Linked DNA regions of Caenorhabditis elegans. The protein of the gene in region 4 interacts with the protein of the main gene of each other region in a pairwise test. Each region holds a gene or a part of one and is shown on either strand. Other genes may lie near its edges. The genes, in order: ehs-1, ina-1, ced-2 and src-1.

The links.
Region 1: the proteins of src-1 (region 4) and ehs-1 interact in a two-hybrid assay, tested with the Caenorhabditis elegans proteins (2 studies listed by BioGRID, with this or other methods).
Region 2: the proteins of src-1 (region 4) and ina-1 interact in a two-hybrid assay, tested with the Caenorhabditis elegans proteins (one study listed by BioGRID).
Region 3: the proteins of src-1 (region 4) and ced-2 interact in a two-hybrid assay, tested with the Caenorhabditis elegans proteins (one study listed by BioGRID).

The regions. Positions count from the first base shown.
Region 1 is NC_003280.10:5,818,383-5,825,499, reverse strand, and holds ehs-1 (Eps15 (endocytosis protein) Homologous Sequence), read right to left. Parts: upstream 4,789-7,117; 5' UTR 4,781-4,788; coding exon 4,718-4,780; intron 4,671-4,717; coding exon 4,490-4,670; intron 4,407-4,489; coding exon 4,294-4,406; intron 4,248-4,293; coding exon 4,116-4,247; intron 4,002-4,115; coding exon 3,292-4,001; intron 3,239-3,291; coding exon 2,322-3,238; intron 2,224-2,321; coding exon 2,022-2,223; exon of another isoform or gene 1,975-2,021; coding exon 1,902-1,974; 3' UTR 1,638-1,901; downstream 1-1,637. Other genes in the region: tbc-2 (PH domain-containing protein), read left to right, coding at 1-66, 118-584, 633-1,149, 1,201-1,343, 1,394-1,414; ZK1248.4 (MSP domain-containing protein), read right to left, coding at 6,669-6,902.
Region 2 is NC_003281.10:9,167,047-9,175,852, reverse strand, and holds ina-1 (Integrin alpha ina-1), read left to right. Parts: upstream 1-3,050; 5' UTR 3,051-3,115; coding exon 3,116-3,270; intron 3,271-3,469; coding exon 3,470-3,580; intron 3,581-3,647; coding exon 3,648-3,801; intron 3,802-3,910; coding exon 3,911-4,096; intron 4,097-4,218; coding exon 4,219-5,480; intron 5,481-5,594; coding exon 5,595-5,777; intron 5,778-5,920; coding exon 5,921-6,842; intron 6,843-6,897; coding exon 6,898-7,156; intron 7,157-7,304; coding exon 7,305-7,492; 3' UTR 7,493-7,780; downstream 7,781-8,806. Other genes in the region: dgk-3 (putative diacylglycerol kinase 3), read right to left, coding at 7,826-7,893, 7,945-8,045, 8,191-8,285, 8,328-8,534, 8,579-8,734. UniProt on the Caenorhabditis elegans protein: Plays a role in cell migration, axon fasciculation, and morphogenesis. During gonad morphogenesis, involved in distal tip cell (DTC)-mediated guidance of gonad elongation, in maintaining their sharp tapering morphology and in their migration.
Region 3 is NC_003282.8:1,594,531-1,603,217, reverse strand, and holds ced-2 (Cell death abnormality protein 2), read right to left. Parts: upstream 5,901-8,687; 5' UTR 5,899-5,900; coding exon 5,460-5,898; intron 3,041-5,459; coding exon 2,838-3,040; intron 2,047-2,837; coding exon 1,849-2,046; 3' UTR 1,597-1,848; downstream 1-1,596. Other genes in the region: putative histone-lysine N-methyltransferase set-23, read right to left, coding at 1-230; npp-8 (Nucleoporin_N domain-containing protein), read left to right, coding at 7,413-7,647, 7,707-7,803, 7,850-8,051. UniProt on the Caenorhabditis elegans protein: Required for cell migration and engulfment of cell corpses but not for programmed cell death/apoptosis. Has a role in the migration of the 2 gonadal distal tip cells (DTCs).
Region 4 is NC_003279.8:1,564,977-1,571,747, reverse strand, and holds the start of src-1 (Tyrosine protein-kinase src-1), read right to left. Parts: upstream 4,140-6,771; coding exon 4,063-4,139; intron 1,412-4,062; coding exon 1,067-1,411; intron 1-1,066. UniProt on the Caenorhabditis elegans protein: Non-receptor tyrosine-protein kinase which plays a role in endoderm development by controlling spindle orientation in EMS blastomere, probably downstream of receptor mes-1.

The DNA.
Region 1 (7,117 bases), on a different chromosome or scaffold from region 4:
ACCAATTAAAAAGCCGTTATTTGATGGTTCTAAACCATTTTAAGTCTCCGACAAAACCAGGAAAAAGTGAGTTTTTAAACAATTTTCTGTTATAATATAATCACTTTTGCTCTACAGTAATGGAACCTGGTGTGTTGAAAGAATTACTCGAAGAGTCGGCAAGAACACCTCGAGAATCTCAGCAAAACCTCACGGATCAGTTGGGATTCTATAAAAAGGATGATTTTTCTGAAAGCGATGATCTTTTGGATACTGCCACGTTTTACATGAAAAAAGCGGGAGACGTAGTGGAAGCAACGAAATTGGAACAATCTGAAGAATACATGAAATGGTTACAATCGTGGGATGCGTTCCTTGTCAACAATACAGTATCCCGGCAGACTGCAATCATGTCTTCACCTGATCTAAAAACTCTTATTCGAACTGGAGTACCACCTGCCTACAGAGGTCGTGTATGGAAGATAATTGTGACACATTGGGTGAAGGATAAGCAAGCAGAATTGGGTAATGGATACTATCAAAGTATGCTCAGAAAGGCTGGAACAAAGAAGCAGGATGGAAGTTACGATGCAGCCATCAAACAGGTATATTTATATTATTCTAAATTCGAGTTTCTCATATTATTTTTTCAGATTGATCTTGACCTCGCTCGAACTCTGCCCACGAATAAACTTTTCGACGAGCCAGATTCTGCTAACATAGAAAAACTACGAAACGTACTCTACGCCTTCCGATACCATAACTCTCACGTCGGCTACTGCCAAGGACTCAATCGTCTTGCTGCAATTGCTCTGTTAAACCTGGATGAGCAGGATTCGTTCTGGTTCCTTGTAGCATGTGTGGAACATCTCCAACCTGAAGGATATTACACTAGCTCACTGATCGGAGCGGTTGCCGATCAGAAAGTTCTCCGCGATCTTGTAGCAGAAAAGCTTCCAAAATTGGCTGCACATTTGAGAGCTCTTGAAGTTGATCTTTCACTTTTCGCGCTCAGTTGGTTCCTGACGTGTTTTGTAGATGTACTCCCGCATTCTATTTATCTGACTATATTCGATGCATTCCTCTATGAAGGAAATAAGGTTCTTTTTCGATTCGCACTGGCACTTTTCAAAATATGCGAACCTCACGTTCTTCAATGTAAAACTATTGGTTTGTGACTTACAACTTTAAATTTATTAGTTTTTTAACAAGAATTTTCAGGCACAGTTCATCAATGTCTCAGCAAAGCTCAAGAACATATCATTGACTTCAAGTCGCTAGCTCAAGTGGCATTCAACGAACTGAATCCGTTCCCTCAGAAGACTATAGAAACTAAACGACAACTCTATTTGACACAATTGAAGGTAAACAGTAATATATAAATAAATTCTAATATAGCGATTATTATTTTCAGGATACTGGCCACTGTATGTAAATCCGACACGAACATTCTTGTACATCTAATCTGTATTTTCTTTCGATTTCTAGCATAATTATGTCTTCTTCACACAACTTTTTCACTATTATTTTCAAACTTCTGTGATTCTCCTTTTTCCTTATCAATTTCTTTTACGGTTTACTTCCCCCCCTTCAACCCGTTTACTTGTGCTCCGTTTTTACACATGAGACTGAAAATATCAAATACGCAACATAAAATTAATCTGCAAATCATTTACTATATATTATAACTCATAATTTACATAATAATCATGCATATTCATATTCTACAGTATATAACATTATTGCTCTGATTTCATAACCTAGAAAAGTGACAATTCAAGTGGGAAAGTGCAAAAAAACTAATCTTAAAAATGTGCATCAATAAATTATGTCGATGACTTGGCACAGGTAAACATTTGGGCAAAGTAAAACAATTTGACTGGCGTTGGGGCTTATAGTGGGTAAGGTATAATTATTAAAAATCAATTGAAAGCCGATCCAAAGTCCGCAAAATCAGCGAATCCAGCCGGTTGAGTTGATTGTCCTTGTGATGGGCTGAAATTATTTAGACTTTAAATAAATTGATACTCACTAAGACTTACGCAAAAGGATCATTGACAGGTGTTTCGCGAGCAGATTTTGGAGGAGCTGGGCGAGGTGGAGCAGGTTTTGCGGGAGCCGATTGTGCGAAGCCAGAATCCGATGGGAAGCCTCCTTGAGCAAATGGATCAGTTGGGAAAGCGGCATCAAAATGTCCAGATGAGCCGAACTGATCTACTTGGGCGAATGGATCAGCAGCAGGATCTGGAAATTGAATTTATGTTATATATTCATATTTCAAAACTTTAAGTCAGAATAAAAGTTTTCATAACTCTTTTTGTTTCTTAAAAATATAAACCTACTTGCTCTGGCGGATGCAAACGGATCAGGTGGTTGTTGAACATGATTTTGAGATGATGTTCCAGCTGTTTCTCCATAAACAGTGTCATCGGATAGCAACGATTGATCGATTACAGTAGACAATAATCGTTGTTGCGACCTCAGAATTTGAACCATTTCCTCCTCGGATTTTTCGACTGCATCTGATACTTGTTCTGTTAGTTTTGTCGTGTTCTCGATTGCAGCATCCAGCTTTTCCATTTGTATCTGATCTCTTGCTTCTTTTCGTTCTAGAGTTGTCAATTCGGCCACCTTTTGCTCTCTTTGTGATGTTTCTTTGACAATTTCTCCACGAACAGTTTTGAATTGATTATCGAGCATTTCAATTTCTTTTTTCAATTCTTCCATTTCTTTTTCATCATTTGCTTTACAGTCCTCAGCATTCTTTGCATCTTCATCAATTTGTTGCATTCGTTTCTCGGTATCTTCTTTCGTTTCTTTCTGTGCTTTACATGCTGATTCTAACTGTTCTATTTGAGTATCATAATCAGCTAATCTTCGTGTGGCTTCACCTTTTTGTCGCTCCAACTGTTTAACTGTCGACTCCAAGGTGGCCAATTCAACCTGCAGATTTTTGATACTCGAGTTCTTAATAGTCATATCAGCTTCTAGTTGTAAAACAGCTTCTTCTGCAGTTTTCCGCTCCACCAGCATTGATTGAATAGACTCTGCGAGCTGCTTCATCTCTTCGTTTTCGCCTTCCAAAGCTTCTTTAATTTCCATCGAAGTTGCTTCTGGGAGCTGTGGAGTTGAAACTGATTGAGCAGGATGATGCAAAGCTGAAGGTTCCGTAGGTGGGCGGAATGAAGGTGGAATCAGATGTAAAGGCAGTTCTGATGGGATGGACTCGCCTCGTTTTGCCATGTCAAGAAGATGCATTCTGAAAATTAATATTTAGTTACACTAGATATTTGGTAAACTTGAAAGACTTACGTCAAAGCAAATTGCTCCAAATTCAACTGTCCACATTTTTTTATATCTGCTAATGCCCAGACATGTGCTAATATCTGTGCACTCAATCCAGTAGTCATCATGGGAGCTCTCATATCCATGCCATCAACCAATCCATCCTTATTCGTATCAGTTTGAGCAAATTGATCAGCATAATCTCCTGTATTGATAGGCCATTCACCAGCAGGAAATGAGTGAATCGAGTGAGAAGCAGATATCGGAGTTGATGCACCACTGGTTCGTGATCCATTCACATGAGCCTGTGCAGAGTAAGCACGACCTGGTTGTGGTGGATATGCACGTGGCATCGTTGCAGAATACGATTGACTCATGTTCACATCATCCAATGACGTCACAGATCCTGCTCTCGATCCCATCATCGGACGTGGAGGATGTGGAGGAGCAGCGAAATTCGGTGAGCTGTGAGCATACATTGCTTTCGAAGGATGAATGAGATTTGGTGGGAGCTGTGCAGGAACCGGGTCTGATTGAAGTGATCGGTATACAAGATGAAGTGCAACAGACATTTCGATTCGATCAAGGTTTCCATCTTTGTCCTGATCCGAAAGTTCCCAAATTCGAGCCAGAGCATGAGCATCAAGTCCAGAGTTCATCAGAACCGGGCGTACGTGTGCACCAGACAATTTTCCGTTTACAGGATTCAATGATTGGAAGATGGAGTCATATTTAGCCTGAAATAATTACAAGAATATTTGATCAAATCTGTAAAGGAAAATAACTGTCAATTCTCTATTCGTGCCAATAGAAAGATTTTTTAAAAGTTTTTAATTCTCAGTTTTTGCTACCTGGTCAGTTGGTGTTATCGGCCATTGTGGTGGAAAAGCTGACGATGGATGAGCTGGAGAAGATTGTTGAGAAGAGATCGAATAAGGATGTGATGGATGTGGTGGTGGTGGCACTGGAGGAGCACGGCCAACCTGAATAATAACACTTAGAAATAGAGGAACCACTTTTCAGTCAAACCGATGGGAACGATGGTTGGAAATGATGCTGCATGTTTGCTGGTGGTACAGGTGGTGCAAACCGTGGTGGCTGAAGGGAAGAATCGTAGAGGGAAGAATTGGCGACGGGCTTCCCTGAAATATTTTGCTGTTAAGGTTACTTTTGAGCATATCGTATTTTCAACAAAATATGATTCCAAATAGGTAATAAAAGTTACCTTGTTGAGCAGCTGCGACTAGTTTAAAAGCAACAAATGCTCCTCTCTTATCTAATGATCCAACTTTTTGAGAGTCGCTAAGCTCCCATATCTGGCCTAACACAGGCATCGCCAAGTTTGATTTTTTAAGGAAAGTAGCTGCTTCTGCAGCTCCTATTCTTGGTGCTCCGTGAGGGTTCATCTGGAATATAACAATTGTTAACGTATTACAAATTGTTAAATATTTACCTCTGCGAATGCGTGATTAAAAACATCATTGTGCGGTGTAGCTATCGCGTATGAATCATCCATGTTGAAAGCTGAAACATTCCAGATAATAAAAGAAAAAAATTAAATATAGTGAAATTTAAGACTATTTTTAAATGAAACAGAAATAAAAGAAAGTTCACTAAAATGTATTGAAGATTGTTAAAAAGAAGAAGGCGTTGCGAGGAATAACGTCGTGTGTCTTCTGAATGAAAGCTCTCTCTCTGCGCCTCTCAACTACTTCCGAGCACTCTAGTACATCGATTTTCCGTCTCTTTTAAGCTTTCGTTTCCTTTTCATGTCGGTCCCTTTTCTCTTTTGGTGAACCAACGGAGGAAGAGAATGTGAAATATGCAAAAGTATTGAGTTTCAGTGGGAAGAGTCCCGGCCCTCTATGATAATGATTACAAAACAAATATATTGATTTAAATTGTAGCCAATTTTTGAAACAGGAATATATTTAACATTTTTCATTAACGGTGAGATAAAAAAATATCCCAATAACCCTATAATATATAATTATTATAAATAAACTAATTCGCAAAAGACTAAACCTGAATGACTCATTGTCGCAGTTTGTCGTCACTGTGTTTACACACACATTGTCAAGTTAATTTTATTCTGTCAAAACGGGAGAAAATAATCTGCGTATAATGCAATATTGTTTGCAATATATATTGTAATATTGTTTGCAATATATATTGCAAATAAAGCGTCTACATCGTAATTATTGAAAATAGTGATAAAATTAAATATTCAACAGATAGCATTAAAAAATCTTGCAACAGTAAATGAGAGAATTAATTAAAATCGTTAAATTAAAAACAATTAATTCTGAAAATTAAAATTTTCACTGTCGCGGACGAGTTTTCAGAAGCGCTCTATTGATAATTGTGAAAAACTTCGGCCGTGAACAACACGAGGACAATATCAAGAAACAGGCGAGCATTCGAAATATATTATTTGTAAATACAAGCAAAATAAATCAAATACACCCGTTAGTGGAATGTTTTCCTATATCATACATCTAATTTGAATATAAAACTCAAATTATCGTATCCCCATTGGCGAAATTTTCCGATTTTAACACCCAAAATACGGTACCGGGTCTCGACACGACTGATTTTTTTGAATTTAAAATCGTGTCTTTGAGGAGTACTGTAGTTTATTTCAATTTTCCAAGATTACCTTCTCATGTCCCCAGAATTAATTTAGTGAAAATCAAGGGAAACACAGGACACAATAAAACATTGAGTTTCGAAGACCTGGGACTAATTAAACAAAAGTAAGCCTGAAACCGCCTATCCTGAACCGAATGGCAATTTTGAAACTACTCCAGTTAGCTAGAAAAATATATATTTTGAGCAATAAAAATGTTTTCCGAGTAATCGAATGATAAACACAACAATGAAAATGAATAATTGTTTATTAATAATTGTTAGATTGTTAGATAGATAAAATGAAAGTTCTTTCAAATGCAGTCAGCTCCATCTTTCATCATCTCTTATCTATGAATTCAAGGCATTGCATATGATCTTGTTGATAATTCTGAAATCTAAAAAATTCGTTCTGTTAGTTCTCTAGAAACGGCTCTCGAACATACAACTTCTTCTCAAAATGATACATGCGAGGAAGTTCTGTAACAAAGTATTCAAAGAAAGTTCGTATATCACAATATCATATTTTGAAATTTGGAAACATGGTAGACAATATTATTTTTCAAATTATAAAATCAGCAACCAGTGAATCAGGAAAAAAATTATTTAGAAGTTCTATGGGTTGTATTCGATCGGAAGATTCTTGCAAGAAATATCTGTAGAAACAACGAAGCGACGAAGCCAGCTGATCTAGAGGATAAGCGACAAGTGTATATATATTCAATTTACAGAAAGAAACAACACAGGCATTAAACAATATTTATTTTACAAGGAACCTATGGGTTGTATTCGATTGGCAGATTCTTGCGGCGAACCATACCATCTCCCTGGAACCACTCGCGGCGGAACTGCTTGGCAGCTCCATCCGGAGTGTTAGTCCATTCGACGGTGATACGGTCGTTGTTGGTGTCTTCCTGTCCAAATGCGAATGCATCACACGAAACAGCCAACAGCACAGCTTCCTTTGGGTCGAGAACTCCACATGGTGGATCAACTCCAAGTCTCTTCATGTTGGTGGTTTGGTCTTGACGTTTTTAATGAACTTTTACATTTTATCATATTTTTGAAAATAAAAATAAAATTAATCGTTTTTAGAAATTTTCATTAATTTATGACCCCTTACAATGTAAATTGTCCAGTTTTCCGTTGCGCCCCGACTGGGCGGAATTTCTAGAATTTCAGAAAATTATACATAGTACTATATTTTTTGGCAAACGGAAATTCT
Region 2 (8,806 bases), on a different chromosome or scaffold from region 4:
CCAAAAGGAGCACACAAAAAGAGCATTGCCTTCTTGTCTTTCTCTCTAAATACCTGCGTCTCTTCAATTAGCACACTCTTCAATGCTACCACTACGAAGCTTCCATTTTGTTTACTCAAACCTCAACCGGGTCAGGTCATCTTACCTTTGCTTCGGCTTCTTCCACTTTTCTTTATACGGACCTTTTTTCTGTAAAATCTAGGAAAATTATTCTTGACAGAAAAATAGTTTTTTAAAAATTGTGACTCACTAGTCAGCTTTTATGATTTTGTGAATTGATTTTGTTTTCGTTTCAAATTCAATCAGTGATTATGGTATTTCGAAAAGTTTGATAAATTTTGTTACAAAACTTTTACAAAAACTTTACCATAAGGAAAGTTAATAGTAAAACATTTCTAGAAATTGCCACCATTTTTTTTTGGAATTTTAATAAATTCGACATCTCGAATGTTAAAAATGTTTCAGATGTAGTGGATATTTTGGTTTGAAACATTCAAATTTTTGGAATGTTTTGAAATTTTCAGAAATTAAAAAAAAAGAAAACTCTCCATCTTTTCTCTAATCAAAAATAAAAAAGGTTCTATGAATTTTTTTTGGTAATTTATGGGCAGTTGTCGGTTCTCTCTGTTTCACCCGTCACACTTCTTCCAATTTTCATATGCAGATTTTAGACGGGGGGCTTTTGCAATTTCTTTTTACGCAATTCCATTCCTTCTTTCCTTTTTCTCAGCTTTTTACTCAGTTTGTGTTCCATCTTTTTTTTGGAATTTTTCGGTCGCAGTTCAAATCAAAATCTAAACTCAATTTGGAATAGTCCTCATATTTTGAATTTTCATTCAAATTTTTTCGGAAAAATTCTCAAAAATTCTTTTGGTGACTTTGTCTGTCATATCCACTTGAATACCGCAATGGATACTGACATTTCAAGGTTGTATGAATGTCCTCTATATGTGTTGGATATAGATTCATATGTATGCATGTTTTGGTTTTTCATTGTTTCTTATTTCTGTATGCGTCACCTTTTTTTCATCTTTTGTATAATGTTGGAGATTATGCAAGCGATATATTATATAACAATTGTATACTGTGACGGAATTATAATGGATTTGAAAGCTAGCTTGACTATCAAGACTGTGAAGGTTGCGTAGAATTATTTTTTCAACGTTTCAAGAAATTTATGATAGAAACTACTGGCAATCTCTAATTTCCTGTCATTTCCAGCAATTTTCAAATCTACCTATATTTTGAAAATTTAACAAATTTCACCTTGTTTTCTATTATCCAGATAGTACTTTTTTGAAGAAAATCTTTCAAACCGGTGAGGTTTAAAATAGAAATTTTGAAATAAAATATCGAAATTTTCCATTCTGAATCGTGGTAACTTTCTGTACTCTCAAATAGTTTTAAGACGTTTTTCTCCAACAAATACTTGTTCTTCGAACGATATTCGAGCTTAAGACACAACGCTCCATATATATCTAGACTCCCCACTCCCATAAATTGAGAACCGCAGTACTGCTTTATAGTCTCGGAATTTCTGTTTTGTCTGGCGAATCGGAGGTTTTGTCTGGATGAGTTAATTGAAACATTCATCGTGCTCTTCTTCTCCGCTTCTTCTCTTCTTTTGCTCTTCCCGTCCGTCACTTGTATACTAAAAAGAGCAGAAAACGCAAGAGAGGCACACGTTTTGCTTCCATTCTTCGCACCCAATTGAATGCCTTCGCGTTGTGCTCTGAATCTTTTTTGCAAAAGAGGAGAAAGAGTGTTCACATATCTGATGAATTGAGAGTGAGCAGCGGGCTCCATTTTCACTTTTTTGCCGTTTCTAGCACCATATCTCTCCAGGGGATCGCGTATCAAAAATTCTCAGAGCGGTCTTTTGATGAAAAGCATCTAATTTGAAGTGGCCGGAAACTTATTCATTGGTTAGCTGGGAAAGTTTTCCTTTTTTTCGGAATTGTTCAGAATTAGAAAAAAAAATCTGAAACTCAATAGCGAAATTTCTGATTAGTTCATACATCATTTCACCTAGGATTAAGCATACTTTCTACAAACCGAAAACCACGAATTTATTTACAACTAGCCTCTTCTTCTGTATTTGTAATTTTTATTTCAAATTTATCAGTAAAAATTTTGGAAGTATTCCAAATTTTTAATAAACTAATTCTTTTTTCCAGATTTGCAGCACTGCAATTTTCAATTACAGATAATTTAAACATGAGTAAAATGAAAATTTATAGACAAAATCTTTTTTCTGTTGAGTTCCAAAAACTTTTTGACTATAGAAATTGCAAAATTATTTTTTAGAATTTTTTACTGTGGTGTTTGTTCATTGTGCATTAAAATAATTCTACACAGTTTCCAGTAATGCAAGTGCAGTTTCCAAAAAAATTCATGAAAAATTTACTGATCTGAACAATCAATTGATAATATACTAAAAATGTACATGTGTTGGCATTTTGTCTCATAGTCTATTCCTCTCTTTCAATATAATTCTCTATCATGCCCATCAATTTAATGTGTTCCCCTCGCCGTGTCGTCTGTGATCGTTACATTTTTTCCATATCATATCAAGGTCTTTCATCCTTCTAGTTCCCAATTTCACGATTGACCAACAGTTACGGGGTCAACAAGGCGGACTTTCTTTACCAAAAAGTTCTAAAAGTGCATCTTATGAATTTTTGAGAAGATGGCTCTGCACTTTCTGACAGATGCACACCACCTGCGTCTCCAATTTCATTTCGACCTTCTTGATTTCAATTCTATCAATTCAGTTGATATGAGTCACACCGTGTGATTCATCATTATATAAACCCCCGCAAAAACAATTAATATAAGTTTTTTCCCGTTGATCTGAAAATGAAAACACCTCTGGTGTGTAATATTTTTCAGATTCTTCTTTTCGGCTTTTGCTCCATTTGCTTTCATGTTTTACGATTTTTTGGAAAATTTTTCTCTAAAAAAATCTGGATTTTGAACTTTCCCTCTTTCAGCTGTCTTCTTGATTTTGTCCATTTCAAAATTCAACTTTCTAATTCCCAAATTTTCAGTCATTATTCCTCGAACGTACATGAGCAACAACTAACAGAACGAGAGAAAGCTCACCCGCCGAAACATGCGTGAATGTATAATTAGCTGGACACTACTCCTATGTCTCAGCTGTGTCAAATCGTTTAATCTCGATGTGAATGCTCCGATCTACAGGTATGGTCCCAGTGGGACCAACTTTGGATATTCCGTTGCTGAACATTTCAAAGGGGATAAGCCTGTGTAAGTAGATTTTTTTTTTAATTTCATCACAAAAAACAGTAAAGCTTGAGCAAAAGTTACTCAGCTTATGTTAAGGCTTAAATTTAGGTTTAGCCTTATGATTAGGCCTAGTCTCAGGCTTCCTGCTAAAGTTTTGCCCAAGCGTGATAGTTTTAGTTTTTGATGAAAACAGCGATTAACGCGTTCTTTCAAATTTCAGAATGCTGATCGGAGCTCCACGTGGCGAGTCTGGGCAAACGGGTACCGAACGAGCGGGTGCAATGTACGCGTGTGATATTAACACATTTTATAATGGTGGATCAAATCACTGGTGAGTACACATTTGAAAGAATGAGAGATATGAGGGAACGACTGATGATTGATGAGAATGAATTCAGGTGTGAACAGGTGCGATTTGAGTATGAAAACGTTGAGGATTATGCGAAACGACCCAACGAAACACGTGGCAGAACGGTGCATCCATTGGGAAAGAATGATCAGTTGTTGGCCTCAACGATTGTTTCGAAAGGAACAAAGAATGGTAGTGCTTTGGTGAGTAAAAAACTTTAATTTTCTGTGTTTAAAACCTTGGGATTTTGGCCTCTGGTGCTCCTTGCGTACTCACAGTACTCTTTATGCTTTCTGAATCAAGTATTTATAGGTGTGTGCTCCATTAATACGTTACCATCAAACTGCTGCATATCCACAAGGAGCTTGCTATGAACTTGAATCGAACCTTCGTCTTCAATCAACATACGCAACTTGTGCTCAAAAGAATCTTCCAACAACAGATCGTCACAACGAGTATGGAGGATGTATGGAAGGATTTTCAGCAGCAATTACTCAGGTAATTTTCATTCAACAAATAGAATGAAATCACTGAAGTTTAGTTTTGTGTTAATTTTAAAAAGATATTTTGATGAATATTTTTGAGTCGAAAGCATTTTTTAAATATTGCTAAAATTTTAGGATACCATCGTGACCGGACTCATTGGAGCTGTAAAATGGACTGGTGGTGTTTTTGCAAAGAAATCGTCAGCAAACATTTTCGATTCAGTCGTTGAAAAATACACAATGAATCAACCAAATGGAGATATGATTCGTACACGATTAGTTGCACATGATTATCTTGGATATTCTGTAGATATTGGAAGATTCGGTTTTTGGTATGAAGATGGAAAACCGATAACCGTAGTCTCAGGAGCTACAAGATACGGAGAACATGGAGCTGTAATATTCCTCCCGTTTATTCAAGATTCAAGTTCAAAACTTACTCTGAATGAAGACAAATTTATTATTAATGGAACTGCAATGGGATCTGCATTTGGGTATTCGATTGAAGTTGTTGACTTGAATGGAGATGGATTTGATGATCTAATTGTTGGAGCACCATTTGAACATCGATCTGGAATTGATGGAAACTTTGGAGGAATCGTCTATGTTTACTTTTCTCAAGGAGTTCAGAGAAAACAACATGAATCTCATCTAGTCTTCCACCCACCAAAGATTCTAAAGAATCCAGATTTCTACTCACAATTTGGACTTTCAATTACTAAATTGGGAAATGTAGACGGAGATAAAAGTAAACTCAACGACTTTGCAGTTGGTGCTCCATTTGCATTTGATGGAGCTGGAGCAGTTTATATTTATCTTGGAACTAAAAACATTGAAAAGTTCCGAAAGAAACCGGCTCAAGTGATAAAAGGAAATGATCTTCCAAATCTTCCGCCAGGTGGAATGAGATCATTTGGATTCTCACTTTCTGGAGGTTCTGATATGGATGAGAATGGATATCCCGATCTTCTCATTGGATCTCCTTCGAAGAATTTTGTTGCATTGCTTCGTTCTAGACCAGTAATAAGTATTGAGACCAAGCACAAAATGGAGAAGAGAATGGTTGATATCGACAAAGGTGTCAATTGTCCACGTGGAGCAAAGACTTGTTTCCCGCTTGATATGGTGATCTATGTGGATGAGGAAACAAAGAGAGGCGCCGAACTTGTCGATTTCTCATCTGATGTATTTATGTGTAATCTGGAAGCTATTCCATTTAGAGCTGACACAACGGCAAGAGGATTCATTGAAGGAAGTCATTCACACAATTATAGTTGGCCATGTGGAAGTAATAGTCACGTACAGAAACGAACTTACCGGCAGCTAATCTATTTGCCAGTTCAAGAATCAAAAGATTGGATTACACCTTTGAAGTTTAGATTTACTGTCAGCATTCGGTAGGTCAAGTTGTCTCGAAATCCCTTGAAAAAGTTGTTTCCTAAATTGTATTGTTAGACTCAAAACTCAAAAACCATGATATCATAATCAGAACTCAAATTCTCACATTTCAGAAACGAAAAGAAGCCTGTGCAACCACCACAAGGAAGCCAATTGGTCGACTTGAAGCACTACCCAGTCCTCAACAAATATGGTGCATCATATGAGTTTGATGTTCCATTCAATACGCTTTGCGGAGAAGATCACACTTGTCAGACTGATTTGTCATTGAAAGCCGCCTTCAAGGATATTCCACTGTAAGACTTTAAGATATTTTAGCGCTCAGAACTTGTGAGACAGCACTGTATTTACACCGAAAGTTTTTTAGAATATAGTAATCAAACTTCTTTTTTAAAATTCCAAATCAAAAGTCAACCCCACGTATGTTTTTTGCTTTCAGAACATCAAATGGATACGTTTCAAATGTCGGCGAAAAGGATTATCTGGACTTGACATTCACTGTGGAAAACAAGAAAGAAAAGGCTTATCAAGCGAATTTTTATCTAGAATATAATGAAGAAGAGCTTGAACTTCCACAAGTTCAAGGTTCCAAGAGAATGATTGCTGAAACAATTGGAAAGAATATTGTGCATTTGCCACTTGGAAATCCAATGAATGGAGCATCAAAACATCAATTTACGATCCAATTCAAATTGACTCGTGGAAGAACTGAAGGAATTGGAAAGGCACTCAAATTCATGGCACATGTCAATTCCACGTCACAAGAAACCGAGGAAGAGTTGAAAGATAATAAATGGGAAGCTGAAGTTCAGATTATCAAGAAGGCAGAGCTGGAGATCTATGGAATCAGTGACCCTGATAGAGTATTCTTTGGAGGAAAAGCAAGAGCAGAGTCTGAATTGGAATTGGAAGAAGATATTGGAACAATGGTTAGACATAACTATACAATTATTAATCATGGTCCATGGACTGTTCGAAATGTGGAAGCACACATTTCTTGGCCTTATCAACTCCGTTCTAGGTTTGGAAGAGGAAAGAATGCTCTCTATCTATTGGATGTACCGACTATTACAACAGAATTCACAGATGGAACAAGTGAAGTTAGAAAGTGTTTCATCAAACAACAGTACGAATATGTGAATCCTGCAGAAATTAAATTGAACACTAAATATAGTACTCAAGAGACTGCTCCACATCGGGTAGAGCATAGAATGAAAAGAGAAATTGATGAGGATGAGGAAGAACAATCAGATGATCTAGGAGCCGTGGAAGAGAATATTCCTTGGTTCTCAACAGCTAATTTCTGGAATCTTTTTGCAATTAAAGGAGGTGATGGACGACCTAGAGAAGTTAAACATTTGGTAAGTCCCTAGATTACAGTTTATTTGATTGATTTTTGATAAATGAATATTTCAGAGCTGCCAAGACAACACTGCCAATTGTTTCACCGTCATTTGCCACTTCGATTTCATCGATGCCAATTCTGCAGTAGTCATTGATTTACGTGCAAGACTCTGGAATGCAACGTTCATTGAGGATTATTCAGATGTTGAAAGTGTGAAGATCCGATCGTTCGGAAAACTTCAATTAGACGAATCACAAGGAATTGATGACGATCCGAATAACAATGCAGCTTTCGTTGAAACATCTGCTGATCCTGATAGGCCTACAATTGGTGGGTTTTTTGAAATGAGACCAACTTTAATATCTAATCATTTTAAAGTGATATACTAGTACGAATGTATTCATAAAAAATCATTGTTGAGGATATTCTAGCTTTAAAAGACATGCTCAAACCCCCAACTTTACCTTAATTTTTTCAGGAGACTCTCGACCTATCCCGTGGTGGATATACGTCATTGCAGCTGTTATTGGTGTTCTCATTTTGTCACTAATTATAATTTGTCTTTCAAAATGTGGTTTCTTCAAACGAAATCGTTTGGATCAGCCATCATTATACACTGCTCAACTCAAACATGAACGAGAAGAATGGGCTGATACGGGACTTTAGATGCCTCTTTATTTCTTTTTTCGACTGGATCTCTGTGATGTTTTATTCACTTTGTTTGTTTCCATTTATGTGATACCATTTTCCTGTTTTGTTCCCTCAATGATTTTCCTCCCAACTTCACTTTAAACATTTAAGTTTTTTTTAAATATTTAAATGTATGACATTTTTCAAATCTTGTAGTCAAGTTTATTGAAACCATCTTGACAAATATTTCACCGGTGCCATTTTCATGTTTTTTGTCAAACAAAAAGTGCTATAATTATTAATAAATTATTTTCAATTCCCTCATTCAAATTATAGAAATTGTGTATATAAATGAAATTTTTTAAAAAATCAGTTATCGTCATTTGTGGACTGTCGTTTGAGAAGCATCCAGGAGCTTCGTTTTCGTGGAGCTGCAGCTGTGAATAAAAAGAAATTAATCGACAACTCGAGGATATGACGAAACTCACCAACAAGCATTTTTGCTTGGTTTTTGTGTGTGATTTGAATGATGCAAGGAGGTTGCATCCATGGTTCCCCGTCAATTTGCATGGGAAATGATTTGTGTGTTCTGGAAATGAACAAAATTTTTGTTAAAGTAACGGCATTACAGAAAACCATTTGAAAGTATCAGAATTACTCAAAAATTGATTTTTTTTTTCAAATTCAACGATGTCCTAGTTATATTCCCACATTAATTCCATTTAAAAACTAACTGAATCACAACAGTTGAACATTGAGAAAGCCGTCTTGCTCCACGTACACCCGCTTTAATCTGTCCCATTTGCATTGCTGACTCCAATCCAACTAACTGAAACTTTTGGTTTGTTTTTGGAAGGATTTCATCTTAAACCTCAATGAGACCATCTCCAATATCTTGAACTCTTGTCTGTAATTGCATTTTCTCGGCATTTTTCATTGGGAACAGCCCAGGCATTCTTCCTTTAGATTTTCGACTCCTTCCCCATAAATTAGATCCTCCGTAAATTGATGGAATATTCAAAAGAGCAATTCCTTCAAGTGATGCATCTTGTCCAAGATCGATTGATTCTCCATCGCACTGAAAATTGGAAGTATTTTACTATAATATTTTTAAGAACTTACCAAAATATCAATTTGCTCGTGTAAGTTCTTGCAAGAACTTGATAGGGTCTCACTTGTACCTAACTCAAAGTACCACAACTTGTTTCGCATCCGGCTATTGAACTTTTCAGGAAACTTTTCTCTCATCACATGGAATCGGTGAGCAATTGAGGCGTCCTGAAATTTTTTTTGTATTTTTTTATGTTCAAATTTAGGTTTTTGGTAAGATTATTTAGTTTTTCAATAAAA
Region 3 (8,687 bases), on a different chromosome or scaffold from region 4:
GAAGTTGGGAGCAGTATGCAGGCACATTGATCGGAGCACTCGATTAGAAGCTCCGATGATTTATTGATTTTTCCATCGACAGTGTAATTATCGATTTTATTGATTAGACACGAGCAACCGGCGGCTGAAGAGCACTCAGCCTCGCAGTTACATCCTTCGAATACGTCATTCCAGTCGGTTTCAGAGATTCCTGGCCCGGGAATTGTGCTATCAATTTTCTCATAATTCATTATCTGAAATTTGAAATTTTTGTAAGTTTTTAGGCGGAAAAACAAAAAACTATCAGAAAATTGTCGAAATTCGAGAGAAAATCCATTTTTCAACATTTTTCCACGAAAAAAATCCGGATTTTTTCGCATTTTTAGGCGGAATCTCAGACGAAATTCGGAAAATTGTAATTTTTTTTGCCTCAAAAATTCGAATTTCTAGGCGAAATCTGCGAAAAAATGTTGGTTTTTTTTTTCACAAAAACCGTTTTTAACTAAAAAATTCACAAGAATTTATAGCAATTTCAAAGAAAAATCGAGAAAAATACGCCGAGCTTTCAAATTTTTTTTGTGATTTTTTCATACAAAATCGGATTTTTTTCTTGCAATTGAATGGAAATCTTGAAGAAAATTGTTCAAAACTCTGAAAAAAAAACTATAAATTATCTGAATTTCTAAAAAATTAAGAATTTTAGTGAAAAAATTCGGAATTTATCACATTTTTAGGCGGAATCTGTAACAAAATTATCGAAATTCGGGAGAAAATCCAGTTTTTAACATTTTTCTACTGAAATCCAAAAAAAAAAATCAAATTTTTCACATTTCTAGGCGGGATCTCAGACGAAATTCGGAAAATTATATTTTTTGCCCCAAAAATTCGAATTTCTAGGCGAAATCTGCGAGAAAATGGTTCAAATTTGGGGAAAATCTTTCAGCTTTAAGAGGAAACGGCGGGTTTTCAATAGAAATCTGAGAAAAAATCGGCAAAATTCGATAATGTGGCTTTAAAATCTAAATTTTCTGAAATTTTATTTTAAAAAACTGCACTAAACCGTTAAAAATCGTTTATAATTTAATTTTTCAGTTAATTTTCCCGTTTTTAAGTGAAAAATAGCTTGAAAAAGGTTTAAATTCGACAGAAAACAGAGTTTCTCCAAAAAAAAAACACCGCGTAAATCGACACAAGTTTAAAGGCGCAGTATGGAGAGTGAAAGGGTCTCGCAACGATGGCCCGGGGTATTTGAATTTTTCATAAAATAAAAGTTTTTTTCGTGAAAAAATGGCAAATTTGATCAAAATTTGTTGTTTTTTCGTGAAAAACAGTCGAAGTTCAGAGAAACTTTCCATTTTCCAGTTGAAAATAGAAAAAATTGACCGTTTTTTAGCCTGAAAAACCAGAATTTATTGCAATTTCAGAGAAAATTCGAAAAAAAAAGGCCGAAAATTCACCAAAATACGTCGAAAAATCGGATTTTTTTGCAATTTGCTGGAAATCTTCAAGTAAATTTTCAAAACTTTGAAAAAAACTCCAAAATTATGACATTTTTTTCTTAAAAAGTACTCTCAGAGGCTCTATAGCACCTCATTTTCCAACAAAAATTCGAAAAAATCATAATTAAAACGGTTTATTAATCATCCGGCAGGTTGAAAGGGAAAAGTGAACAAAATGGAATGGACACGAATTGGGGTTCGGTGGGCGGAAAAGGCAACGAAAATTGTGCATGATATCATTATAAATATAATTTGGAAAAAAAAACGATTTTTTTCTATGGTAAAGCTGTAATGTATTAGAGGAAAACTGGTGGAGGGGCAAGCGAATCAATAAATTTCAAGGTTAAAAATTTAGAAAAAAAAAACGATTTTATTCGCTGACGGCGGTGAATCTGAGGTATGTATGAGGCACCGAGCCAATTTGGCCGTCGAGTTCCGCTTTGTACATTCCGTTGGACATTTTCTGAGTTACAAGCACTGTTTGCCCCTTTTTCACACGCAATTGGGTCGGATCGTAGGCGTTTGGGACACGATCGAACGTCACTTTGGCTTTTGCTGGCAGACGGGGCTGAAATATTGAATTTTTTTTTCGGTTTAGGAGATGTTTTTCATGATAAAAATCGTTAATAATTTCATTTTTCAGTTAATTTTGCAGATTTTAGGTGGAAAATAACTTGAAAACGGCCTGAAAATAGAGTTTCTCCGAAAAAAAACACCGCGTAAATCGACACAAGTTTAAAGGCGCAGTAGGGTTGGTGGAAGGGTCTCGCAGCGATGAGCCGGATTTTTAAATTTTTTGAGAAAAAAAAAAAGTTTTTTTAAGTAAAAAGGTCAAAATTGATCGAAATTATTCGTTTTTTTTTGACAAAAACAGCCGAAATTCACTGAAATTTGACATTTTCCAACTAGAATTAATAAAAAATCATTGAATATTCATTAGAAAGATGGAAATTGACTGAAATTTCGCATTTTCCAATAGAAAAATCTAAAAATTGGTGTTTTCCGTGAAAAAATGTCAAAGTTGCCTGAAATGCTTCGTTTATTCTTGGAATATGGTCGAAATATTAGGAAATTTTCGATTTTTCCACTAGAAATGTTAAAAATTGACTGAAATTTCCATTTTTTTTTCAGTGAAAATTTCAAAATATGACCGAATTTTCACTAAAAACGGTAAAAATTGAGCAAATTTTTAAAGAGAAATTTCAGATCCAACTTTCCCATTAAAATTCTGTAATTTACAAGGAAAATCGTCTCGAAATTCGAAATTTTCCCATCGAAAAATGTCAAAAATTGACTAAAAAACGCAATTTTTCAGCAAAAAATCTGAAATTTGTGGATTTTTCCGGCAATTTTCCACACCTGGAGCTCAATATTATCACTGCTCGTGCTGGCGCTCGAAAATCGTTCGGCGCCACCTCCGCTGCTTCCGATCGACGATTGACTGGCGCCTTTTGAGGTTCTGTCATTGTGAAATTCCATCTGAATTTGTACATAGTTTGCCGGCACTAATCCAGTGGTTCCCAACGCGTTTCTCGCCTCCCACCAATCCTGGTTCGTTTTTGCTGGAAAAAAAAAATTATTAAAAATCTAGTATTTTCGAGGAAAATTACCGAAAAAAACTTGGAAAATGCACAAAATCTTGAGAAAAACGGGAGAAAATCAAAAAACACGGTTTTTTTTTCAAATTTTATGGTTTTTACAGGTAAAATTTCGTATTTCCATTATAAAATTCGTTTATAATTTTATTTTTCAGATAATTTTGCGGTTTTAAGTGAAAAATTGCCTTAAAAACAGTTTAAATTCGTCCGAAAATAGAGTTTCTCCAAAAAAAAACACCGCGTAAATCGACACAAGTTTAAAGGCGCAGTGGGGTGGGTGGACAGGGTCTCACAACGATGAGTCCGGGTTTTTGAATTTTTTCATAAAATAAAAGTTTTTTTCGTGAAAAAATGGCAAAATTGATCGAATTTTGTTGTTTTTTCGTGAAAAACAGTCGAAATTCGCAGAAACTTTCCATTTTCCAGTTGAAAATAGTAAAAATGACTGAAATTTCTTGTTTTCATTAGGAAAATAGTCATAATGCACTGAATTTCGCATTTTTCTACTAAACCGGGTTAAAATTAGGCGAATTTTGTAGAAAATCGCATTTTTCCATTGAAAAACGTAAATTTTTAACATTTTTGCGGCTTTTTGGATTAAAAAAATGTGGAAATTTACCAAAAGTTTCTGGTTTTCTTGAAAAACAGTCAAAATTTACCATTTTCCAATAAAAACAGGAGAAAATGGGTGGAAATTTACTGAAAATTGCTCATTTTCTCACTAACATGGTAACAATCGGAAATTTAAATTTGCCCATCGAAAACGTCAAAAATTAACTAAAAATCTCGATTTTTCGGCGATTTTAATTGAGAAATGGCTTGAGAAAGTGGTAAAATTTGGCAAAACTTGGTTTTTAATAGTTTTTTTTTTGCATTTGGCTTCAATTTCCCCGAATTTTCAGATTTTTTAATCGAAAAAGTGCTCTTAAAGCTCACAAAGAATCTCGAGCCGCTAAATCAGTGGATTTTCGGGGATTTCACGAGAAAACTCATTTCTCGTAGTTTAAATGGCATTTTCCGAACCTTTGGTCTTTCTTCTCTAAGAAGTGCTCGAGATTCCAGAAATTGATTTTTTTTCCAGAAAAAAACGTTATAATTGTGAGGAAATCGACATTTTTTCTTGCATTTGGCACTATTTTCTCCGTATTTTTAGATTATTTAAAGGTGGACTACGCTCAGTGGGGAAATTGCTTTAAAACACGCCTATGGGGTCACAATGACAGAATATCATGATTAAAAAATTCAAAATTTTTTTTTATGATTTTAAATGATTTTTTGAAAATTGAAAAAATCTCAGTTTTCACCTAATTCCTATTTGAATTTCCGCCAATTGAACTCGTTCGTTGGAGCGCGCTTGCATTATTTTCATTAATTAATTCTATTTCTTCTCATTATTGGACTGATTTTCTTCATTTTTTGTGGTTTTTCATCGGAAAATCGAAGAAAACAACAAGAAAAATGCAAAATGATTTTTTAAAAGTAACTGAAAATGCGTAAAACTGTAAAATATACTAATTTCAGGCTTGTCGTTGTCAGAACTCAAGAAATCACAGTTTTAGAAAATTTCAGTTAATTTTTAACAAACAATTTGCATTTTTCTTGTTTATTTCTCTTCCATTTTCCGATGAAAAACTCCAAAAAATGAAGAAAATCAGTCCAATAATGAGAAGAAATAAAATTTTGAAAATTAATGAAAATAATGCAAGCGCGCTCCATTGAAAAAATCCAATTGGCGGAAATTCAAAAATAATTAGGTGAAAACTGAGATTTTTTTTCAATTTTCAAAAAATCATATAAAATCAGGGAAATTTTTTTGAATTTTTTAATCATGATATTCTGTCATTGTGGCCCCATAGGCGTGTTTTAAAGCAATTTCCCCACTGGGTCCGCCTTTAAAAAATCTAAAAATTCGGAGAAAATAGTGCCAAATGCAAGAAAAAATGTCGATTTCCTCACAATTATAACGTTTTTTCTGGAAAAAAAATCAATTTCTGGAATCTCGAGCACTTCTTAGAGAAGAAAGAACAAAGGTTCGGAAAATGCCATTTAAACTACTAGAAATGTCAATTTTCTCGTGAAATCCCCGAAAAATCCACTGATTTAGCGGCTCGAGATTCTTTGTGAGCTTTAAGAGCACTTTTTCGATTAAAAAATCTGAAAATTCGGGGAAATTGAAGCCAAATGCAAAAAAAAAACTATTAAAAACCAAGTTTTGCCAAATTTTACCACTTTCTCAAGCCATTTCTCAATTAAAATCGCCGAAAAATTGAGATTTTTAGTTAATTTTTGACGTTTTCGATGGGCAAATTTAAATTTCAATAAAGCAAGTTCCCCACAGGGTTTAGTCCACCTTTAATCAAAAAAGTGCTGCTTTAAAGCTCACAAAGAATCTCGAGCCGCTCTCCTTGCTCAAACGGAAGATCTGTCTCTCGTTCCCCTGTGAATTTGAATGTTCCGACGACAACCTCAATGATAGGCTTCTTGTAGGCGGCCAGCAGGCTTGCCTCAGTCAAAACTCGCATTTTAAAATGATTCAACAACGCCGGAATGTCTGGAAACGACTGATTCGCGATTTTCACGCCAGCTGCAGCAGTTCCATCTTCTTTCGGTTCTCCTCTTTCAATCAAATAATGACAAACGGCATTTCCCTCGTCGGCTTCACGTACTGTCAGTGAATATTCACCGGGGCGTGAGCTATCCCGCATTAGGAAGGTGCCGATCGATACTTGTGGCTCGCCGAGCAACTTGTGAGCCTCTTCACGGCTCATTCCTGGGAAGTAGAATGAACGCCACTCGAATGGATCGAACCCGTTTGTCGTCATTTCTGAAAATGCGGGAAATTGTTTAGAAACGTGGAATTTTTAGGCGCGCAAAATTGGTCAAAGTTGGGAAAATTTTCTGGAAAACGTAACCCAAATAGACGGAAAATCATCAAAAATCACGAGAAATTCCTAAAAATCCAGAAAAAAAAGACGAAAAATCAAGAAAAATTATATAAAAGGGGAAAGTTTTTTCGGCTGAAAAATGCTTAAAATCTTGTTTTTGAGAGCGAAAATTTATGAAAATCGGCCAAAAATCACCATCTTTGAGAAGAAAACGCAAAAATCTTCAAAAAAAAAATCAAGAATTTCGTGGGAAAAAATATTTTAAAATGAATAAAAATATGATTTTCAACCTAAACATTGCTGAAAATGTGAAAAAACGGGTGAAAATTCGATTTTTTAAAGGAAAACGAGTCAATATAGGCAGAAAATTGGATGAAAAAGTTGGAAATTGAATAATAATTAGCGTGATTTTCCAAGAAAATCAAGGAATTTCCATTTAAAAAATTCAGGAAATGAACAAAAATGGATGTTTTTTTGGCTGAAAAAATGCTGAAAATCAGTTAAAAATCGGCCAAAACTTGCGTGGAAAAATCAAAAAATCAGGAATTTCGTTGGAAAAGTACCTTAAAATGGCAAAAAATAAGATTTTAAAGAAAGAAATTGCTGAAAATCGTGGTTTTGGCACAGAAAATCTAGTAATTCTAGTGAAAATTTCTGAAAAATAAATGAACATTGGAGAAAATGGTACTTTTAGGAAGAAAAATCGATTGGACACAGTGAAAATTTTCAAATTTTGGTAGGAAATGGCGAGTTTTAGGGAAAAAGAGGGCAAAATAGTTGAGTTTTTCGGCTAAATTATGGGAAAAATGAAGAATTTTTTTGAAAAACTGTGTTAAAAAATTGGAAAACATGGCGAAATCGAGAATTTCGAGCAGAATAAGCAGGTTTTTAGGCTAAAGTTCGGTTTTTAGTAGAAGAAAATTGAAAAATACGCTTAAAACCTTTATTTTCGAATATATTTCATACTAAATTTACCGATTTCTTGTTTTTATACGCATTGAAACACCAATTATTCGTAAAAATGAGGAAATTGATGAGCAATTTTCCCAGGCAATGACTCATAAGCTTCTTGTCGACTGGAGCCAAAGTTTACACATTTTAAATACGTATTTTACGATGCGCAACCGCAAAAAATCAAGAAAATCTCCGAAAACTGGTGAGAAATTGCAAACAAACGACTTTTTTTGCACGCAAAAATAAATTGTCAGCTGTTGCGCTTGTCCGAGAGGAGTACACGATGAGGTGTGCGGGGGACTTGCAACACGCGACCCCGCCCACTTTTCCGCGCCGCATTGCAATTTGAATTCGGAATTTTGCGCGAAAAGTTGCGTTTTGCGGGAAGTTTTCCGGGTTTTTTACAGTTTTTTGCTATAATTTTCAAGTTTAAAGGTTAAAATATCAAAAATCACTCAAAATTTTCCGACTTTTTCAGCAGCTTTCCATCCTCCGAGATGAGTGTCTCGTTTATGGAGTTGGGCTCGGCCGACTCGGCAGAAGCGGCGGCGAACAAGGTGGCACACCACGTCGAGCAGATGATGGAGACATCGGATTTCTTCGATCGCCTCACACAACACGGCACGACGCCCGTCTCCGGTCTCGGCGAGAAGTTTTATGTGAAGGGAGCGCCGGAGTTTGTGAGCACACGGCGAATCCCAATACCCGGAGAGCTTCAAATGCAAATGAGCAGTGAGAGAGCATTGTTTCCGATGGGGGGGTTTTTCAGCGAAAAATTGGTGAATTTTCAGATATTCACAGCGAGTTTAGCATGGGATTCTTCACACAAATCAGCCGAGTTTGGGTCGTCATTGATAACAATCTCTATATGTGGAATTACGAGACAAAGTAAGCGGAAAAGCCGAAAAATACCGAAAAAAAATCGAATTTTCAGCGACGATTTGGCGTTTTTCGACTCATCAGACGCTGCAATTCTGAAGGTGTCGCTGGTGAACATCAAGCCAGGCGTTTTTGAGCCGGAAATTCAATATGGGCTCGTTGTCGGCACAATTTCCGATATATGTCTTTATCCGGTCTTTGATTTCGTGGAAAATGGCGCCAGTAGCATTTCTATCGACTCAAAACGATGCTTCAAGGTTCGAAATTCGAGTGAAAATGGAGAAAAAAGAAGGAAGAATTACCAAGAAAACCCAAGTTTTTGAATCAAAAATCGCAAAAGTTTGGAGATTTTGAGTCTTCAAAACACGGGAAAATCGATGTTCCGTGCGATTTTTACTTAAAAATCGACAAAAAAAATTTAAACAACGGGATTTTTCGTCTATTTCTAGCTCAAATTTGCTGATAACGCTTTTCTGTTTTTTTTTCTACTCGAAAACTTGAAAATCCGAGTTTCTGACTAATTTTTTGAGTCTTCAAAGCAATTTTACATCAAAAATGCTCATTTCAAACCAAAAATTGGGGATTTCGATAATCTTCAATTTTTATTCGTTTTTTTTAGAACAATTTGTCGTTGAAAACGCTCATTTCAAGCCGAATTTTCGAAAATATGTGTTGTTTTATGCGAAAATCTCCAATTTTTCATTTATTTTCCGATAAAAAAAGCTCATTTTAAGCCTAAATTTTCCCAAAAATTGAGCTTTTCAACAATTTCTCTAGAAAATCGCAAATTTCCATTAAAAAGCTCAATTTTTTTTGCGAGAATTTTTCAAAAATGAGCTAAAATTTCGAAAATAACAGTAATTTTCGACGAGAAACTTCAATATAACACAAAA
Region 4 (6,771 bases):
CTTGAAAACTTCTCAAAAAACAAGTTATGACGGCTCAAAAAATGGCCTAAAATTAGTTAAAATTTGAAATTTGACCGACTTGTCAAGCGGCTGGAAACGTTTATTTTTTTGAAATCACCGTCAAATTTTGGGTATACAACTGAATAATCTTGCGTTTTCAATTTAATTTAGGTATTTTAAAGTCGATGGACGGCGTGATTTGGTAGAAAAAATTAAAAATCTCCCCGTTCATCGACCTTAAAATGCCTAAATCCGATTGAAAACGCAAGATAATTACATTGTATACTCAAAATTTGACGGTGATTTCAAAAAAAAAAATAGTTTTCAGCCGCTTGACAAGTCGGTCAAATTTCAAATTTTATCAAATTTTAGGTCATTTTTTGAACCGTCATAACTTTTTTTTTTGAGAAGTTGGAGAAATTTCATTATGAAATTCGGTGTTTTCAGACAATTTTGAGTCTAATTAAGCAATAAAAAAAATTCGACTACACCACCTTTAAAACAGAGGTGGGCGGATATTTTTTCGGATATTTTCTTAATAATGAATTTATCAATAAGTATTGATGTAGTTATTCTGGAAGAAATGTATCCAAACCAAAGAGTAACTATTAAGCAACATTTTAATATGATAAAATTTAGAAAAATTCTACAAGTTTTCCTTACCGAGACCTTAAAACTTATTCGCCGAGCAACATCGGATATCGGATATTACGGATATTACGGATATCGGATAATGGACTTGCATATCGTTTATACAGAAAACTTGTAGAATTTTTCTAGGTTTTATCATATTAAAATGTTGCTTAATAGTTACTCTTTGGTTCGGATACATTTCTTCCTGAATAACTACATCAATACTTATTGATAAATTCATTATTAGAAAATATCCGCTCACCTCTGCTTTAAAACTCTTCTCACAAATAGTCCACTTTAATTATTCTATTTCAGACTAATTAATTTAATAGAGGTTTAGTGCTCTTAATCTGTGCTCTTTTTTTTGTTGATATTCTTGCAAAATTTCACTTATATAATACTTCAAACCACAAAAAAAAACAATGCAACTCACTCTTCACTCTCAATAGTCTGTTGCTTGGCAACAAAATTCCTCGGCACATAACCAGTCTGTCCGGTTCGTTGGTGTCGAACATACCACCAATCACAATTCGAATGATCCAATAGGTACATAGCATCGCCTTTTTGAAAGCTAAGATCCCCGTCGGCACGTGAATCGTATGGATAGAGGGCGACCAGAGTCTCACGTTCCTGTGCTCCTCCTCCACCACCACCACCACGTCCATTTCCCATCATTCCGTCTGATGTTCCGTTTAGTTGAGAGATGGTTCCCTCGTTTCCACCGTTATTCACGTGGAATACTGTCTGTTGTTGGGGCGTTTGGAATCTGCGTGGATATCTTTTTGGGTAATGGGGGAAGTGTACGGAAAAAAAATGGAAAAATAATTAAAGGTGGAGTAGCCACTGCAACTTTTTCCTCACGAGGGACGAGGAAAAGTGGTTTCTAGGCCATGGCCGAGGGGCCGACAAGTTTCAGCGGCCATTTATCTTGCTTTGTTTTCCGCCTGTTTTCTTTCGTTTTTCATCGATTTTTTTCGTTTTTTCTTAATAAAACTGATAAATAAATATTTTTTGCAGATGCTAAAACAATTTCCAAGTAAAAAAAATCATGTATTCAGTGGGCAAGCAGCGGTGAAAGTGGTCGATGTAATATGATGGATTACGGGAATACAAAACCTAAACGTTTTCTGAAACATGATACATATGCTGCTTAAATGCTGAGACTACCTGATTTTCATAACGAGACCGCTGAAAAAGTTTAGAGATTTTTAAAATTCAACATTTTGTGCGAAAATCTCTACTTTTTCACCAAAAACAATTGAATTTTGAAAACCTCAAAACTTTTTCAGCGGTCTCGTTATGAAAATCAGGTAATTTAAGCATCTAAGCATCATATGTATCATGTTTCAGAAAAAGTTTAGGTTTTGTATTCCCGTAATCCATCATATTACATCGACTACTTTCACCGCTGCTTGCCCACTGAATACATGATTTTTTTACTTGGAAATTGTTTTAGCATCTGCAAAAAATATTTATTTATCAGTTTTATTAAGAAAAAACGAAAAAAATCGATGAAAAACGAAAGAAAATAGGCGGAAAACAAAGCAAGATAAATGGCCGCTGAAACTTGTCGGCCCCTCGGCCATGGCCTAGAAACCACTTTTCCTTGTCTCTCGTGAGGAAAAAGTTGCAGTGATGGGGTCACAATGTCCGAATACCATGATAAAAAAATTCAAAAAAATTTTATATGATTTTTTGAAAATTAAAAAATGGTAAAAAAAAGATTTTTGCCTAATAATTCCTATTTGAATTTTGAATTACCCCCAATTGGATTTGTTCGGTGGAGCGCCGCGCTTGCACATTTTTTATTTTTATTCATTGTTTTTTTTTTTATATTTTCCACCGATTTTCCATGTTTTCAGTGTATTTTTGTCTGAAATTTGAAGAAAAAGTCGAAATAAATGCTAATTTTTGATTAAAAAGCTACTTCACAAGCGTAAATCTTTGAAATTAATTAATTCAGGTTTCGAAATCGTCGTTTAAATGCTTTTTAATCGAACATTTGCATTTATTTTGACTTTTTCTTCAAATTTCAGACAAAAATACACTGAAAACATTGAAAATCGGTGGAAAATATAAAAAAATAACAATAAATAAAAATAAAAGCGTGCAAGCGCGCTCCACCGAACAAATCTAGGCAAAACAAAAAATTAGGCAAAACTGAGATTTTTTCAATTTTCAAAAAATCATATAAAATTTAGAAATTTTTTTTTGAATTTTTTAACCATGATATTCGGTCATTGTGGTATCATAGGCATGTTTAAAAGCAATTTCCCCACTGGCGCTACTCCACCTTTAAAAAAAATATAATACGCGAATTGACGCGTTGTTAGTGCATTTTTAGGTGGGCAAACAATCAAATTTTTTTTATAGAAAAGGAAGTACATATATGAACATTCTCATGTGCATTAAAATTGAAATATTGAATGTTTAAAATTATTTAGTGCTCACTTTTTCCGAAAAAAAATATATATAAATAGAATAATCTCAGAAGAAAAACTATGGCATCATTTTTGCCCAAATAGATGTCTTTAAATGTTTTTAAAAAAAAAGATATATATATATATATATATATATAATTTTTTAAAGACATCGTTGGCATCTAATTGGGCAAAAATGATGCCATAGTTTTTCTTCTGAGATTATTCTATTTATATATTTTTTTTTTCGGAAAAAGTGAGCACTAAATAATTTTAAACATTCAATATTTCAATTTTAATGCACATGTTCATCTTAATACTATTTTCATTTTTAGGCTTAGAAAACAACATTGGCCTAAAAATAGCCTAAAAATAAAGCAAACTTTCTATAAAAAAAGACGGGACAGAGAAAATGATACATTTTTAAATTCTATACATTTTTTCCAAAAAAATACACTCGAAATTGTAAAAGAGTTCAGTCTCGATTAAAAAATTCCAGAAAAAAAAATTTCTAATAAAAACATTTACTACAGTAGGGATCTCGTTTTTTTTTTCAAAATTCTTTGGAACTCAGTAATGTCAAATTGCCGGAATTTGTTGGGATCGGGCACTTACTTGCTGAGAAAATGCCGAAAATCTAACAACTGTTGATCACTGCCGAATTATCGAAATGTGAAACGGGCAAATTTTCGGAATTGAAAAGTTCCGGCAAAACGGGGGATTTCCGCTCACCACCATGTAAATGCATAAAATATCATGCTTTATGTAGATTTAGAATAGCTAAATTTCCTATTTTAATTGAAAAGTCAATAATTTATGATTTTTTATCGAAAAATCAATGATTTCTAATTTTTAACTAAAAATCAATAATTTCAAATTTTTACCAAAAATTAAACCAAACCGGAAAATCGGTTTTTTTTCAAATCTGTATTTAATTTTTGCACTTTTTATCTAAAAAAAAAGTTGATTGTCTCCAAAAAAATAATACATTTCTCTATAAAATAGTTACCTGGAGACATCTATCCGTTCGGAAACACCCATATCACTGCCTCCCGATCGCCGCTCTTTTGAAAACAGGCAACCCATTATTTATTCTGAAAAAAAATTATTTCAGGAAAATGTTACTGGGGTTGCCTCGTTCGTTCGGCAAATCAGCAAATTGCCGGTTTGCCGGAAATTTTCATTTTCGGCAATTTGCCGGTTTGTCGAAAAATTGTTTGTGAATTTTTTCGTTTTTTTTTTTTAAATTTTTTTAACTGAAAAATCTCTGTCAATTTAATTTTTTTTTGACATTTCCACAACTGGAAAACTGCAAAAAAAGACTGTACAAGCAGAATTTTCAAACAAATTTCAAAAAATTTGTTAATTTTAATATATATTAAAATTTACAATTTGCAAATATCACGTGGTGCCAGCCTGTCCCATCACGGTTTGATCTACAAAAAATGCGGCAATTTTTTGCCCAAAAAATGTGACGTCAGGACGGTCTTAACCATACAAAATCAGATGAGAAGTCAGCGTCCCGTTTTCCCGCATTTTTTGTAGATCAACGTAGATCAAGCCGAAATGTGACACTCTGACACCATGTGAAATACTTGAATCGTCGCGAAATTCAAAAATTGTCAGGTTTTGTAATTTTCAGTGAAAATTTTCTGAATTTTCCAAAAAAACTCACACAAGACACCAGTATTTTTGTGCAAACAACAATTATTGAGCATGCATATGGAATGGTTGCTTCTTCTTCTTATTTTCGAGGTTTTTTTTCTGAAAATGAGGAAATTTTGGCGGGAATTTGATTTTAAAAAAACGAGATTTTAGAGGAAAAAGTGAAAATGGAGGGGTAGTAAATATGTTTTAAATAAACTCTGACGCTTGGAATTTATTCAGAAAAAACGCGAAAATTATCAATTTTTTGAAGAAATTTACAATATTTTCCCAACAGAATCAGTATTTTTGTATTTAAAGGTGGTGTAGTTGAATTTTTTTTTAAATTTCTTTAATATACTCAAAATTGTCTGAAAACATCGAATTTCATAATGAAACTTCTTGAAAACTTCTCCAAATACCGTATTTCCTCTATTAGTTTTGCACCCCCTCAATTTGTTCCCTATGTTTAGGAATTCAAAATTTGCATAATAAAATCGTTCTAAAAATTAGGAAAACTCTTACAGACTTGGTATGACAAGTCAAAATTGACAAAATATGAGTACAATTCGGACAATTTTTGCGTATCAGTCGTAAAATTCGTAAATTTTCGATCATAAGTTGTTATTGAAATTGATCATAACTTAATGGAAAACATGAGAAAAAACCTGTTCGAAAATTAGTTTTGCATCAAATTAGGTGTCCGAAAATTAGTTTTGCATGCCTTACTAATAGAGGAAATACGGTAAAAGTTATGGCGGCTCAAAAAATGGCCTAAGATAAGTTAAATTTTGAAATTTGACCGACTTGTCAAGCGGCTGGAAATTAACTTTTTTGAATTCACCGTCAAATTTTGAGTATACAATGTAATTATCCTGCGTTTTCAACTTCATTTAGGTATTATAAAGTCGATGGACGGCGAAATTTGGATAAAAAATTTAAAAAAATGTCGGCCATTTTTTGAGCCGCCATAACTTTTACCGTATTTCCTCTATTAGTAAGGCATGCAAAACTAATTTTCGGACACCTAATTTGATGCAAAACTAATTTTCGAACAGGTTTTTTCTCATGTTTTCCATTAAGTTATGATCAATTTCAATAACAACTTATGATCGAAAATTTACGAATTTTACGACTGATACGCAAAAATTGTCCGAATTGTACTCATATTTTGTCAATTTTGACTTGTCATACCAAGTCTGTAAGAGTTTTCCTAATTTTTAGAACGATTTTATAATGCAAATGTTGAATTCCTAAACATAGGGAACAAATTGAGGGGGTGCAAAACTAATTTTCGATTAGTGATTTTAGATGCAAAACTAATGGAGGTGCCTAACTAATAGAGGAAATACGGTATTTGGAGAAGTTTTCAAGAAGTTTCACTATGAAATTCGGTGTTTTCAGACAATTTTGAGGCTAGCAAAGAAATTTTCAAAAAAATTCGACTGCACCTCCTTTAAAAAAACTATTTTTTCTGATTCGGATCAAAATCGATATTTTTCGGTTTTTTTTTGTTAATTTTTCTATTTAAAATCCACTTTTTTTTTCCGATTTTCTTTTTAAAAAACACGAAAATCTGAAAATTGTGACAAATTTTTGTAAAAATCTTTAAAACAAATTTAATTTCTAAGAAAAAATTGTGTGAGTCACACAAAGATAATTTTGTTTTTTGAAAAAAAAAATGATAGTGTTAAACGGGAGGGCGAAATAGTGTAAATGACAAGAGGATTAGAGAAGAAAAAGTGGAAAAAAATGTGTGTAAGAGTTGAGGAGAAGGGAGAAATGGAATGTGAGAAAATGGAAGGTTTCCGTTTTTTTTTTCTCGTTTGAAAAGTTCATGAGAAAACGGATAGATTTTCCAGAAAAATGGGAATTTTGCCGTTTGAGAACTTCAGGAAATTGCCGATTTGCCGAAATTGCCGGAAATTTTCAATTCCGGCAGTTTACCGGATTTTTCTGAAGGGATTGTCTTCCGGCAATTTGCCGATTTGCCGGAAGATTTCAATTTCGGCAATTTGTCGATTTTCCGGAAATTTTCAATTCCGGCAATTTGCCGATTTGCCGGAAATTTCCA